Drosophila melanogaster: one gene and its partner. The protein of the gene in region 2 purifies or fractionates together with the protein of the main gene of each other region. This does not show direct contact. Each region holds a gene or a part of one and is shown on either strand. Other genes may lie near its edges.

The links. The genes of interacting proteins can lie anywhere in the genome.
Region 1: the proteins of Tip60 (region 2) and pont purify together in Drosophila melanogaster (affinity purification with western blotting; one study listed by BioGRID). This does not show direct contact.

The regions. Positions count from the first base shown.
Region 1 is NT_033777.3:10,258,748-10,266,049, reverse strand, and holds pont (pontin), read right to left. Parts: upstream 3,928-7,302; 5' UTR 3,708-3,927; coding exon 2,891-3,707; intron 2,834-2,890; coding exon 2,635-2,833; intron 2,574-2,634; coding exon 2,219-2,573; 3' UTR 2,151-2,218; downstream 1-2,150. UniProt on the Drosophila melanogaster protein: Acts as a transcriptional coactivator in Wg signaling caused by altered arm signaling. Pont and rept interfere antagonistically with nuclear arm signaling function, and are required to enhance or reduce arm activity, respectively.
Region 2 is NC_004354.4:4,112,388-4,120,322, forward strand, and holds Tip60 (Tat interactive protein 60kDa), read right to left. Parts: upstream 5,101-7,935; 5' UTR 4,466-5,100; coding exon 4,406-4,465; intron 4,339-4,405; coding exon 4,212-4,338; intron 4,158-4,211; coding exon 2,933-4,157; coding exon of another isoform or gene 2,923-2,932; exon of another isoform or gene 2,910-2,922; intron 2,828-2,909; coding exon 2,615-2,827; intron 2,543-2,614; coding exon 2,542-2,542; 3' UTR 2,413-2,541; downstream 1-2,412. Other genes in the region: Nsun2 (NOP2-Sun domain family, member 2), read right to left, coding at 1-1,080, 1,158-1,217; dgt4 (dim gamma-tubulin 4), read left to right, coding at 1,841-2,407; tyf (twenty-four), read left to right, coding at 6,031-6,630, 7,909-7,935.

The DNA.
Region 1 (7,302 bases), on a different chromosome or scaffold from region 2:
GAACTGAAATATTGTGCTGTTCACAGGGTGATGTTTATGCACTTTATGGAAATAATTGTTTGCAAATGTAAAATATAATTGCTGTAACAGTAAAATAAACGTACATATATCTAAACGTTTCGTATTAATAAAATGATAATACATTTTGTTGTACTCCGTTCACCGTATCGAAACACCACTGTGTTACTAAATTACATAAAAGCCAATCAGACTCGAACCAGTTAACGGATCTTCCGCAGTGTAGGGCCAAAAACAGCGGGCGTGGATTGAAATTTGGCAACGATCGCGTGAGCAGGAGTAAGTGAGAGAGAGCATAAGTGAGAAAGAGATACTGGATGGTGGGCGAATTCGCTCCACGGAAAAAAATTAATTTTTGAAAGCAAATATTTAAGTAAGCACATTTTACAACGATATTATAATAAAATACTTAATATTAACTATACATACTTAACGAATATGATTTATACCAAAATAAAGTCTTTTAATTTAAATTGATAAATTTCTTCTTGTGTAAGTGCGCCGCCACCGGCGTCCCATAAAATGTGTTGTTTATGCGTTATGTTTTTGGCCAACTGCGGCGACCAATTTTCGCCCGCAAGATTTTCACATTAAAAATGGCTCGGCAAAAACAAATTAAGAAAGAAGTATGCGAAAATGATCGCTCGGCGCAGCTGCAAATGCGGCTGCTTCTTCTTCCCGTTCTGATCAGAGCGCGAGGGAGTTCATCGCTTCGTCTCTTTTGTTTGTTGCTTTTCATTTGTGTGGCGTGAAATTCTTATTTGATTTATGACCAGCTGTGGGTGCAAAAGAGACAGACAGCCGCTCAACTGGTGTACGCACAGAAATCAAATCACAACGCATGCTGGCAATTAATTATCAAGTCTCATAATCACCATTCATAAATAAAACAAACACACACGCACACGCTAGTGTGTTCCCATAAGAATACTTTCGCTTTCTATTCGGAGTCTCAAAAGAGAGACACAAAAAAAATACCGAAATTATGTAATTCTCTCGTTCGTGCTACTTAAATAATAATAACAGTTAAAGCCGGAAAAAATAAGTACAAATAAGTGTGACGCGCACCCACACAGCACTAATTTTCTGATTGGGAGGTGCGGCCTCCAGACCCATACACACACACACACGTACACGCATTACACGCACTTACCTTTTGTTGTTTTTCCTTCTTTTTTATTATTGTATTTTCGTTTGTTTGCCTTCGCTCTCTTTCGCTCTCCTAGCTGCCGCTGTGTTGTTGTTGCTGCTGCTGCTTGTGCTGCTTCTTCAACATTGGTTCATTCATGCAATAGATCCCAAATGTTTCCATTTTACCTTGATCCTGCCATCAGGATTGCATTTATTTCCGCCAAAACGGGTTGCCTGGCTTTGTTCACACACAAATAAGCTCGAAACACACACATGTGCGTTAAATAGTGGCTAATTGCGCGGAATAGCAACAACAAATCGCGACTTTTATTATGATTTCACATTCTTTCGGAAAACCACAAACGCACTCACACTTACACACACACACGCACGCCAAGTGCAGTTGCCGGCGTTGTTGGAGCGAGCGAGAGGCAAGATGCAAGACGCGAGGGGAACGGGCCGAAAAAGAAGAAGACGCCCACGCCGCGAATCGAATCGTTAAATATACTATTCACTGCATGCACTTCAGCGGAGCTCCCTGGCTATTTATTTTGGGGCAGTGCGCAGCTCGACGCTCGTTGAGTAACTGAACTCACCACCAATTGGAATTCTTGGCCAAACAACGCGAGCAGCTGATGTCGCATGGTGGGAAAATGAGGGTGGCGCGAGTGGAAGTTGCCATATCGCTGCGATCACAAGCAGCAAATATGGAAGATTAAGCGGAAAACGAAAGACAAAATAATTACAATCAAACAACCGAATTATAAAAAGAAAATGGTTAGTCCTCCGAGTTCGTTTAAATATGCTTATCTACGTATCAATTAAAAAAACCGTTGAAAGAAATTCACGATTCGCCCTAATCTAGCTAAGACACCAACCAAAAATTTCCGATTTACTTTCAGTTGAAGTGTGTACACACTTTTCTTGTCGATGTTTGAAGCGCCATTGAAATGATCATTTGAATGTTTTCAAATTACCACATCATTACAATAAATTAAATTGCTTATTATTTGATTTTTACTGGGAAATCCGTGCAAATGGAATTACAATTCAGCTTGAATCGTCAAACTTACAACATAAACTTATTGTTCTTTTCGGACAAATGCTTCGAGGAGCGCTTGGCGTCAAGGAAGAGCGAGTGCACATCCTCGATATCATCCTTGCTGATCTGGTTGCGTCCGTTCACCTTGCACATCTGATGAGCCGGGGTCAGCAGCTGGACGGCGTAGCGCAGCGTGGAGCTGGTTCCAATCTCGCTGAGACGTGTAAATGCGTTCTCCTCCAGCTGCAGTCCCTCGGTCTGGGCGCGCAACTTGATTATCTGCTCCATGTCGGCAGTGGAGTAGAGTAGTGTGCGGATGATCAGCAAACGATCGAGCAGATCTAGCGGAATTCCGTGCGGCGAAACTATGTCGGTGGTGCCACTGGAAAGAGGTAACTCTTATTAATAATGCGAATAGGTTTTACGAGCTAAGTATTTCTAACCGAATAACACAGCGTCCACGATTGGTGGCAAAAATCACAATTGGTGCAATGGGAGATTCCAGGGACTTGTGTAGGTAGGTGAAGGTCTCCAAATCAAGCATGTGAATTTCATCGATGAAGAGAACTCCGGGAACCAGCTCGGCTATGCCCTGGTCAATGTACTTGTTTACCACCTTGTTGATCTCCATGCGTAGTTTGTCTGCTCATCAAATGGTATTTTAGTAAATTTGAATGGGAAGAAAATTACACAACTAACCAGTGATTTCAGTTTTCTTCGGCTTCATAAGCTGGCCCATCATGGAGAGCACATCCTGGCCGCCCTGTGGACGAGCATTGGCCACATCCAGATCGTGCAGAGTAACATCCTGGATAACCTCCTTCTTCTTGTGGACATCGCCCTTGGGCAGCGGCACATACTCCTCGGTTTCGAGATCAAACTCAGTGGCAAAGGTGTCACTGCGACCCTGACGCTTTACGGCACCACTGTTGGCCTCTATGTAGATGACATCGCCCACCTCCACCTTTTCCTTTTGCAAGGCATCAAAGATGCTGGGATCCAGCTTGAGCTGCTTGGTTCCCTTGGCTGTTTTCAAGCCGATGACGACATTGCTGATAGTCTTGCCATAGCCACCCATAGGATTCTCGGTTTCCACGGGCGTGAGTTCCGTAACCTCGCCCTCGTACACCTCTTTGGTCTCACGAATGCGCAGACCAATGGAGCGCCGGAAATTCTCCATTAGCACCTCGGTCTTCTTGATCTCATTGCTGAATACCTCCGATCCGACCATGGGACAGAAGGGCACTTTGTTACCCAGCTCCTGGGCAATGGCCAGAGCAATGGCGGTTTTGCCCGTGCCTGGTGGCCCAGCCAGCAGAAGCGCTCGTCCGGCCATCTTTTTCGATTTGATGAGGTCCACCACAATGCCGGCTGCCTCGCGTGCCGCCTTCTGACCCACCAGTCCGGCTGCACTGTGCACGGCAGCTCCAACCTCGTCCAGGCCCAATCCCTTCACATGGCTGTGGGCTGCGATGCGTTGGGTGCGCACGGTGCTCTTGACTTCCTCGATCTTCATGGCGCCTCTAAATCCGTGTCCTGCCTGATGCTAATACTCTGATCCGTTTCCGGTTTCAGCTGTTTTTCGCCCGAGGGAGAGGAAATGTGAAGTCAAGCGTTGCAACGATCAAACAAACTATTGTTTCGTTGCCGTGGATAAAATTTGTTTTTCTGCCGGCGTTTTGATTGGAAATTAGAAGCACACTTTGTTTCCGCAGCCGTTGTTTACAGTGTGACCGTGCGAGTTGGAAATCCAAGCATGTTGCTTGGTACACTGAACCACATGGTAGAAAATAAAATAATTTATAATAAATGTTTTAAATATAATAACAAATATTTTGAGTTAATACTTTACATTTATATTTAATCAAGGTAAGCTAAGATATTTGAGATTTATTTAGTTTTTACCAAGCTGCAAATTATATTACACCTTATACTTTTTTTTAATGACCAGTGTAATTTCACTTGGCACGTTTTAAAGTATTTTGTAGCGTTACGGATACGGTCATATTATAAACAATAAAATCTCGATGGACTCATTTAGCCGTACAAAATATAAACAAATTAATACCAAAAAGACATAATAGTCGCTTTTGAAGTAGATCAAACTTTTATCAAACCATGAGCTGCAACTACGCGGATGGATTGTCAGCCTACGACAACAAGGGAATTTTGGGAGCACCAGAGAGTTTCGACAGCGATGAGGTTGTGGCCGAAAAGTGCCAGGAATTGGCTGAATTGATCAAGAAATCGGGACACGTTGTCCTCCACACGGGAGCTGGGATCAGTACGTCTGCAGGAATTCCGGATTTCCGCGGACCCAAGGGCGTTTGGACCCTGGAGGAGAAGGGCGAGAAGCCGGACTTCAATGTTTCCTTCGATGAAGCCAGACCAACTAAAACCCACATGGCTATCATAGCCCTGATTGAAAGTGGCTATGTGCAGTACGTAATCTCACAGAATATTGATGGTCTCCACTTGAAATCCGGACTGGATCGGAAGTATCTTTCCGAATTGCACGGCAACATTTACATCGAACAGTGTAAGAAATGCAGACGGCAATTTGTGAGCCCATCTGCCGTGGAAACAGTGGGTCAAAAATCCCTGCAACGTGCCTGCAAGTCTTCAATGGATAGCAAAGGTCGTAGCTGTAGATCGGGAATCCTATACGATAACGTTCTGGACTGGGAGCACGATCTTCCCGAAAACGACCTCGAAATGGGTGTGATGCACTCCACCGTCGCTGACCTAAATATTGCGCTTGGAACCACTTTGCAGATCGTTCCCAGCGGAGACCTTCCTTTAAAGAATCTAAAATGCGGTGGAAAATTTGTCATTTGTAATCTGCAGCCCACAAAACATGACAAAAAGGCTAACTTAATCATATCCAGTTATGTGGATGTGGTTTTGTCCAAAGTTTGTAAACTATTGGGTGTTGAGATACCCGAATATTCGGAGGCTTCCGATCCTACAAAGCAGTCCAAGCCAATGGAGTGGACAATACCCACAAGCAATGTAAATACCTTTCACAGACAATATAAAAAGTATGTTTATTTTATTTATTATTTATTATGATAGATAGAATAGTTTACAAAACTAGACTAACTTAGATAGTATAGCATTAGCTACGGGGCTTACAGCTATATTTATTTACAATGTTATTATATCTTAATTTAGTTAATATCTAATTTGGTAACTAATTGCTGGCTTGTTATGTACAAATGCCTGTTTTGTTTTTAGATTTTGTGGTATAATTTAGTTTTTTTGAGGAAAAGTATGAGTTTTTGTATGTTATCTGGATTGGGTTTGCTAAGAAGGTCTAGAGGGTTGGTGTTGTTAAATATATCTTGTTTGGTTTGTAGGAGGGATGGGCATGAGTTAAATATGTGGTTTAAAGAAATATCACCTTGGCAAAACGGGCAAGTTGGTATTGAATTGGGATTTAGGTAGTGTTGGTGGGTTATGTTTGTGTGTCCTAGTCGAAGTCGTATTATTTTTATTTGGTCGAGTCTGGTCCAATTTGGGTGGGATTGTTTAAGGTAATCGCATGGGTGTGAGGTGTTCGTGTTAATAGATTGGTACCATGGACTGCAGTTTATTATGTGTTCTTTCTGTTTTGTCGCAAGGTCGGCTTTAAGGTGTTTTTTTATATCTGTGGTATTTATGTTTGGGGTGAGGATAAGTGGCATACTGCTTGCTGATTTTGCAGCTTGATCGGCTAATTCATTTCCTTTTATTCCTGAATGGCCAGGAATCCACATTATTTTAATTTTAGGTGCGTGTTGCGTTATTAGCGATCGTATTCTGCTTGGGTAAAAGCTGTTATTATTTGTGTTTTGAATTGAATCTACTGCTGATAGGGAGTCGGAGCAGATAATAAATTTGCCTCTTCGGTTTTTAGTAAGTTCTATTGCTTCTAGGATGGCGATTGTTTCGGAGGTGAGGACGGATGAATATGGGGGCAGTATGCCGTATTTCAAGACGTCTGTCTCCGTTGTAATGGCGAATGATATTGTGTAATTAATTTTTGAACCGTCAGTGAATATGAAATTGTGTGTTTTGAGGTTATTCTTTGTGTGTTCGTATAATTTTCTGTATTGGTCTGGAGATGTTTGTTCTTTCTTATGGATTCTAAGTGACGTGTCTATTAGATTGGGGAGGGTCCATGGTGGTTTGTTTTTATGGAGTTTTATTGGTTTGTAGGGTAGATTAAGTTCTAGGCTAAGTTTGATTGTTCGGTCTATTGTTGATGTTTTTTTTTTTATTAGCTTTTTTAGGCTTTAAGAACTTATGTATTGGTGTGTTTTTGGAGAGGATTAGGTTTTGGGATAGTTTGGCTATTTGAAGGTCTCGTTTCATTTCTAAGGGGGGAGTATTCGATTCGTAAAGTAAGTTATTTATTGGGGTAGAGCGATATGCGCCGAGAGCTAGACGGATAGCGGAGTTAAACGGTGTTTTTATTTTGTTTAAAATGCTTTTGGGAGCATGGCCGTACAGAAACAAACCATACTCTAGTTTGGCTATAATTGTTGCTTTTGCGACATTAAGTAGTGTATGCGTGTTGCAGTTAAATTTAAGACTAGATAGGCATTTTATTATATTTAGCTTGTTGTGTAGTTTGGGTAGAAGTAGGTTTATGTGTGTGTTCCATTTGTATTTGTTGTTTAAGGTTATTCCTAGAATTTTTAAGGACGTAACGCTAGGAATTTGGAAGTTGTTGCAGCTTATCTTGCATGTGCAGTGACGTTTTCTGCATATGTGGAGGTGTTGACATTTGGATAGGGAAAGCGATGCCCCTGAGTAGGAGCACCAATTTTCTATATCGTCGAATAGATTGTCTAAGTTGAAATTTGTATTTGTGTTTTTGTTGAAATTTATTATAAGGAAGAAGTCGTCGGCATATGCGTTGAATTTAATTTCTTTATGTAGGGATATGATGTTGGATAATTTGTTGAATGCTATGAGGAAAAGTATTACGGATATGGGTGAACCTTGGGGGATTCCGTTGAATAGGGGTAACGGGCTTGATGTATGCGGACCGACGCGGACAGTTATTTTTCTGTTGCTCATGAAGTTTTTAATGTATTTTATTATTTTGGGACCCGTTTTCCATT
Region 2 (7,935 bases):
AAAGCGGGTAAAGATCTGGTCCACCTCCTTGGTGGCCAGCTTCCAGTCGGTCATGCCGGGCTTGTACTTAAGACCTGGCACCAAGTGCCCCGCATCCACCAGCTCCAATGCACCGTCGGCATCCTTTATGATCCGCTGCAGCACCGCCTCGTTCTCGATGGGATTCAGTGAGCAGGTGGAGTACACCAGCCTTCCGCCAACCTCCAGCATCTCAGCGCCACGACGTACGATGCGGTATTGAATGCCGTGGAGGTTGTAGGCCTGTGCCAGGTTCCACTTCAGCCAAATGTCTGGATTCTTGCGCAGTGTGCCGTCGCCGGAGCAAGGTACATCGCACAAGATCTTATCGAACTTAAGGATCGCCTTTGAGCCGTCCGGCTTCGTGGTCACGAGATTGGGAAAGACACTGCTGTCGTGGTTGGTCACCAACAGGCAGGGCGAGTTTAGACGCTTGGCTTGGTGAACCAGCATGTAGCACCGATTGTTGTCTACATCGTTGGCCAGCACAAAGCCGGGCGGAATCTTGTGCTCCTCGGGAGCAGCGTGCAGAGCCTCAATGAGCTGGGCTGTCTTCGAACCTGGCGCAGCACACATGTCCAAAACTTTGTCCGTGGGTCGGACATCCAGGACAATTGGCGGGATCATGGATACGGCCTCCTGCCTGCTGATGCCGCCCGCCGTGGTCTCCACAATTAGGAAGTTGTGCAGCCGGTAGAGCGGCTCCGAGCGTCGAATGTCCTTGCGGGTAAGGTGCAGCTGGTAGGCCAGTCCGTTTGGATACCACGGCAGGCACAGCGGACGTTCCACATCCTCGGGCGCCTTCTGGTGCAGCTCGGCCACCGCCCTCACATACTCGGTGAATAGCTGCGTCTCAATAATGGATAGCAGGGCTTTGGCCTCGTCCTTGAATCCTGTCACACGGAAAGTAGTGGGCAGATTGTCCCTGATGGAAGCAAGGAACTGCGTCCACTCCTCATCGGTGGCGCAGATCTTCTGCAGTTGGTAGTACTTGATGAAGAAGGCATTATCCCTTTTGATCTCCTCATACGGCTGGGCCTGACGATCGGTGCGCTTGGGACCCTTTAAGATAAAAAATATATTTAAGAATAAAATCCAAAAACGTGGAATGTTTCTCCTTTCAAATTGAGGTGACTCACATTCTCCCGCTTTTGACGTTTGCGAGCCGCGAAAAAATTTTGCTTCTGGTTTCGACCCATTTGTCAATATCAATACCAAGTTATCAGTCCACTGAATATGTTTAAAAAAAATTAGGCAAGCGTTGTGTGTTTTCTAAACGAAACGAATAGTTAAAACGTGTTCGTCGCCTAACTGGCAACGCTGTCGCGCGAGAGTCGCCGGACATTTGGTGCTTGGAAGGGAAGGTGAAATATGCTGCTAAAGAAGTGAAATTGAATTGAAAGGGAATTACTTTTTACAGTACTTGGTTTCCGTGCTGCAAGGAATTGACTTGTTTTTAAACGTTAACTTCATTTGCATGGCTTACATTTTTAGCCCCAAAATCAATAAGAGCTGGTTTCCCAACTATCGGTAAGCAAAATCAAACAACTTATTTCAGTTTTCTAGAAACTTTAAAAACCTGTTAGTTTATGTAAGGAAACCTACATATCTTGTTGTTATTTACATTTTCGAATTATTTTCATTTTTTTTTTATATAGTTATTAATAGCCAAATTTGACTCGAACATAGCTACGCGCCTATCGTTACAAAAATCTCCGTTAGCCGACTTCAAATGCTACCGATAGCAGCTGCGAAAGCGATAGCGTCGGCAATCGAATCCGAATTTCCCACTTTAAAAACTAAGAAGTTTTTGTAAGCCACTATGGAAACTCCACCCACTCCCACCACGACCACACCGCCATCATTGACAACTGAGGGCACCATGGACGACATCCAATACCTGCTGCACCTGGAGGCGATGCGCCGTTTTCAGGAAGACAGCCGCAATGTAAAGCGCCAGGTGGAGGAGCAAGTACGCATTTGGCTGGACGCCAAGTGTGAGTATCAGCGGGACTTTGGGCGGCTGGCGAGGCTCCTGAAGTGCGGAGCCCTGCAGGCGGCCGTGGATGCCCATCGTGTATCTGATGTGAATCAAGTCGACCAGGCGGCCAAGGATATCGCTAGTTTGCGATCCAAACTGGGCAGTGATCTGCGTCCCGCCATTCTGGACTCCAACGATGTGAAGCAGTGCCTGGAACATCTGAACACCACCCACAAACCGCGCCTAAATCTATGCCGGCAACAACGGGAGTTCGCCCAGAACCAAGAAGCTCTAAGAAGTTTGCGTACCGCCGTCGATGGATTGGAGAATGGTATGGAGATGGGCATGATACAGGCAATGGACCGCCTTGTGGAGGATCTTCTCCCACCGCGGGAAACAAACAACTAGCCGGTCGTCTCAAAAGTATATATAATATTGTATGATATAAACTAGTTTATAACATTAAAAACGGAAACTGTAAATGAAAACTACAAGCTACAACGAAGCCAGGATCATCCGATGAAGAATATTGGTAGCGGAAATCTAAAAACAAAAAAAAACGGATTCAAAGCTGTTTAAACTCAGTTATTTATACGGAGAAGATGAGGAGATTACCATTTGGAGCGCTTGGACCAGTCTTTGGGTGTCCAGTGCAGGCATTTCGAGTCGATGCGGATCTTGCGCTTGTCCATTGCTCGCCGGTGTTGCTCGATGATAACCCGGTTGATGCACACGATGTACTGGCCCTTGTAGTAGTTGATCAGGTTCAGGTTCTGCAGCGTTGAGATCACGTCCTCTTTTTTGATGGATGTGCATTCGCAGATGTCGCTGTGAAGAAAAATTTTGGGAGCATGATTAATCTATGTTTCGGCAATGAAGCACAATCTCTGTGGATTGAAAATTGTATTACTTTAAGCTTAGAACTAGCCATACTTTATAGTTATAGTGGGCTTTTCGCCGTCCGTGCTCGGGTTTTGGCTGATAAAGATCTCCAGTATGGTTTGCGCCCAGTACGATCGATAGGACAGCAAACCCAGATCAGACAATGGTTTCTCCGGCGATCCCGTCTTGCCCTCGAACTTGGACAACTCGTAGCTGAACTCAATGAGCAGCTTGCCGTAGCCCTTGCGCTGATACGGAGGCATTGTGAGAATGCAGGCCACGTTGTAGTCCTCTGTGCTCTCCTTCTCCTTGGAGAAGTACCCTACTATGTGGAAGCCGCGCGAGTCGAACTCTGTCATTACGTAGAAGAGAAACGGATCGGTATCATAGTAGAGTGTCTTGTGGTCGAGAAAGAGTTTGGCAAGCAGGCACAAGTTCTGGGCATACACCTTGTTTTTGCGTCCATCGATTTCAAAGAAGGAAATTGTATGTTTGCGATAGATCTCGTTTCCCGGTGGATGCCTAAGATTGCACTTGGACAGGTGCCTCTCCAGGCACTTCCTGCTCTTCCTGTACTTCAGGCAGAACTCGCAGATGTAGATGCAGGGCATTTGACACAGCTCTTGCGGATAGGGTGAGAAATACCAGGGCTTAATGCGATGCCTGCCCAGCTCGATCATCTCCACGTTCTTCATGCGGGTGACCACGTCGTCCTGGTGCGTAACCATGCTGCCTGATTGCCTCGGCGTGGGCGTCTTGCCATCCTGCGATCCATCACCATCATCATTGGCCGCTCCGCTTATTAAACCGTCGCCGGTCACATGCACGGGCGTAGCCGTGGGTGTCTGCGGAGTTGTAGGATGCGGATGTGACTGCTGCTGTTGACTGGTCAGACTGTGGTGTCCATGGGCCGAGCCTCCGTGGTTTTTTCGCTTGCGATTGATGCGTTTCTGAAGGGCTGCGGCCAGATTGTTGCCATTCACAAGCTCTCCCCCACTGCTTGGTGTTCCGGGTGGAGCCACAGAGTTTGGAATGCCAGCAGGGGGAGGAACACTGCCTGATGCACCAGTAGGAGTCTGGGGGATGGCTGCCAGAGCCCCGGAACCAGGGTGTTGCGGTGATGTAGGCCGAGAAACGCTGCCCGCTAGGGAATGGTGGCGCTGTGGCGTGGTCACTCCAGTGCTGGTGCCTGTTTGTGAGCCGTCTCTCCGCGGAAATTGCACCTTTCGCGTGTACAGATCCTCCTCGTTGACCCACTCGTCCAAGCGCTTGTTGACTGCGGATTGGCAGTTATACTAAATATGCTCCCACTGGACGACTTGGTACTCACAGTCCACATAGTGCACGTAAAACTGCCGGCGCCCATCCAACTCCTTGATGCTCACAATCTCCGCTAGTGGCCAGTCGTCCGTTTTGTGCATCCTGACGGGTAAACGACATCCCTCGGTTAGGGCGGCCTGCAAGTTTGCGGTTAAAACCATTAGAATGAACACCCAAAACACGCCAAGGCGTAGCGGAACCCACCGTTGACTCGCATATGGAGGCCACATCGTCGTCGAACTCATATTTGTGGTTAATTTTCATTTGTTTATATTTTACGCGTTTTTTTTTTCCTAAAACAGCAGTATTGCCAGATAGCGAAACGTAAATAACTATCGACCAATCGATTACCGCCACAGTGAATCAGCGGTTTAAAAATGTTGATGACATGGGCAGTGCTGCGCAGCGTCGCGTCGCCTTTTCAAAGTGCTGCACAACACAACAACAATTCCAGAGAGTTTTTCAATTCGGGTTCGGTATTTTTTCTCATGTGCCTACTGTGCAATTAAACAATTTCGCCCGCTTACAAACAACTGTAACATATTAAGCACAACCGTTCGACTCAATTGCAGTTGCTAGAACTTGAGTGCGCAGTTATGTGCTCCCTTCTTTTCAGTTGCCAAACCAAAAAATAAAAACGCTGAGAAGGTCAGAGAAATGTACACAGGCGTAAATTTGTGTGCGTGTGTGTGGGTGCGTACATTCGTGTGCGCTCGTGTGAGTGCGCAGAAAGTTATACAGCTGTCATCGACTGGCGTATTTATCAATAAATGACTACTGTGATCCGCGGAAAACTTCAGTTACTGGGTAATTGTGACCACAACTGCTGGGCAACTGTGCCGCAGTGCCCCAATGCTGACGAGCTGAGCGGGAAATTGGTGAAAAAGCTGTGTCAAAATGACGTGTTTTGCGATAGTGTTGCCACTGACAACAGCCGCAGGGCTGCCAACTCGATGGGCATATCCCACTAATTAGTTGCAAAACGGGCAGGCAATCTCGTGTTGATTAGTAAGATGCAAGCCTAGAGCAAACGCCGATTTAGCAATCTCAACGGCTTGCCCCTACAAACAACAAACAGCATTTGTCAACCCTGGCACGCAGCGTAGTTAGCAACACTGCTTTTTAGCCAAAAAAAAAAAAAAATAAAAAAAATGAATATGGAAAGAGACCAGTGCTTTTTAAAGAAATTCGAAGTCAGTGGGCCGCAAGGGGTCGCCAAAGACTAAACAGACGCACCTGCTACCACCCACCGCCCCTTGTCGCTCGTCCGCATGACCAGAACAACAACAAATGCTGCAAAACACCCAGTCAGTGGTCCAATGTCTCAGTTTCAGTTTTAGTCTCAACTTCATCCCCATTTCCCAATCAATTGCAGATCCGTGCGCACACATTTCCGTATTCCGGTCTGTTTGCGAGCAATCCGCATCCCCGTGCCCAGGAACCTACGTAAATGCCGCGAGCAAAGGTTTGAGCCGGAGGAGAGCTACTGACGACAGGCCTGTCAAGTGCAGCAGGAGTCCAAACTGATGCGCAATAGGTGGGCTCCCCTGTGCCTCAAACCGTCTGGAAGTCGAGAGGAATCGTTAGGAATCGGCGGAACAGCCTGCAGAGCACTTGCAGTCGCGGTGGCAACCACACGGCGGCTGGGCAGCTGGGCTACCTAGAAACATCGCGAAGAGAAGAAACAGTTTGTAAGCAGTTAATGGGAATGCGAGATATACCCGTTTACTAAAACAAACATTCCCCTCTTCTCACACGCCCTAACAGATTCGAGGAATTCGAATGGCATTTGTTTTTCTCCTTCGTTGCATGCCACCAAACGAAAGAAGATGAACAATGAACAAACGCCGTCATCATCGGACACACCGGCGGATCGTGTGGCATCTGGTGGAGCAGCTGCCAAACTGCCAACGATCATACCGGACACGCCCATCGTCTCGATTGCCGCTGGCACGATGAGCGAGAGCACCACGACGACCACCGTCACCAAAACAACGCCGACGCCGTTCCCACAGGAGCAGCTTATGACCATGATGTCAGACCATGTGGCGAAGGCAGACGCGCAGCTTGACGAGGCCTGTAGGAACCAGGGGGCCAAAGACGAGGACAGCCAAGGAGCGGCACCAGTGGCTGCCAACCATGTAGCCACCAGCGGCAGTAGCAGCAGAGGCAATGACCCCAAGAAGTCATCATCCCCTAGTAATAGCCATAGCTCTGGTAACCACGCAGCCACGGCAGACGCTGCCAAAGGATCCGCAGCAGAAGCAGCAGCAGGAGATACGTCCTTCTCGCAGGTCTTTGCCATGCTAAAGGATTCGCCCAGCGCTGAACTGTCGCGACCAAACCGCAGGGTACTCCAGTACGGAGCCACTGCCAAGGGCAAGACCCAGGACGATCAGAATGTCGGCAAGCGACAGAAGAAGAAAAAGGTAAGTGCGCTCTGGCTGAGTTGCATCTTAAGGTGGAAATATAGTGCATGTTAAGCAGAAACCGAGTTAAGATATTGTTTTATTAAGAAAAAGGTATAGTTATGTTTGTTACTCGCAAAATTTCACATTTGTGTACGTTCTGGAGGCTCCAAAGCTCTATGGTGTTTGGACTCCATATCTTATGCATGGCCAGGCTTGAATAGAGCTCTACCAGGGCGACTAAGTTGAGAAACAACTAAGTAAACGTAAAATTTGAAACTAATTTCGATTTTGGGTGGAATTCCAGTATTGGACAGCAAGTTGTCCGATCTTTACGTTACCACCAAAACCAAGGTATACATAAATTAGATATAAATATTGTTTATTTGCACACTAAGCTATAAACTAAAATAGATTCTTACGCTTGCGGTCCATTAAAGTTGTCGAAAATGAAAATGCCGAAATCCCCTTAAAACATGACCTTTGGAAAAAACTTTAAGTGAGCCGATTACTCACTCACAAACACTGTTTTATCGAAAACCGAATTTTATTAAAAAAAAAATAAATATTGACAGTCAAATTGCATCCCCCTAATGAATACATACTCACATACATACATATATGTATGCGAATAGAAGCCAAAGTACCGTTTACGAAGTTAATGGCAAAGAATTCGAAAATGATGTAGAAATAGACCAAGCATACTGTTATCTCGTTCTGACTGACTGGGATTGTGGCTTTCGAAATAGTGCCGTTACATTTGGTCCCATCAAGTAATCGCCACACAGGAACTTCAATTTCTGATCGCAGTCGGTTTTTTGACCAGCGCCTTCGATAATTATTGAAATCAAGACCCCGAATCGGGCAGAAGGAACGGATAAAACCGCAAAGCGTTTGTTTATCTTATAAAAGCATTGGTGACATCCGCGGCATTAACCACGAAAACTTCTCGCCTATTCCCGTTATTATTTCAGTTATTGTTTTTTTTTTTTTTTTCTGTTTTCTTGTGTTCGTGTGCAACACCATATAGTACACATGTGTGTGCGTATGTAGAGCGTTTACTTACTGGAACCGTGTGCCATTTAATACTTCTATTGCTCTGCGGTCGGTACTTCATCAGTTCGCATAAGGAACTCAGAAGGGCATGTGTTTGGAATAAGTGGAGCTCCGAATTCTTTTGTTTTTTTTTTTTTAGGTTAAGTCGCAGCGATTATTGTTTTACACGCATATGTGTTCGTGTTGATGACCCGAAAAATTGCAAAACTAATTGCCAAATATTGTTCTTCGACGCTTTTGCAGACAAAATACGATACCTGGGAAGATAGC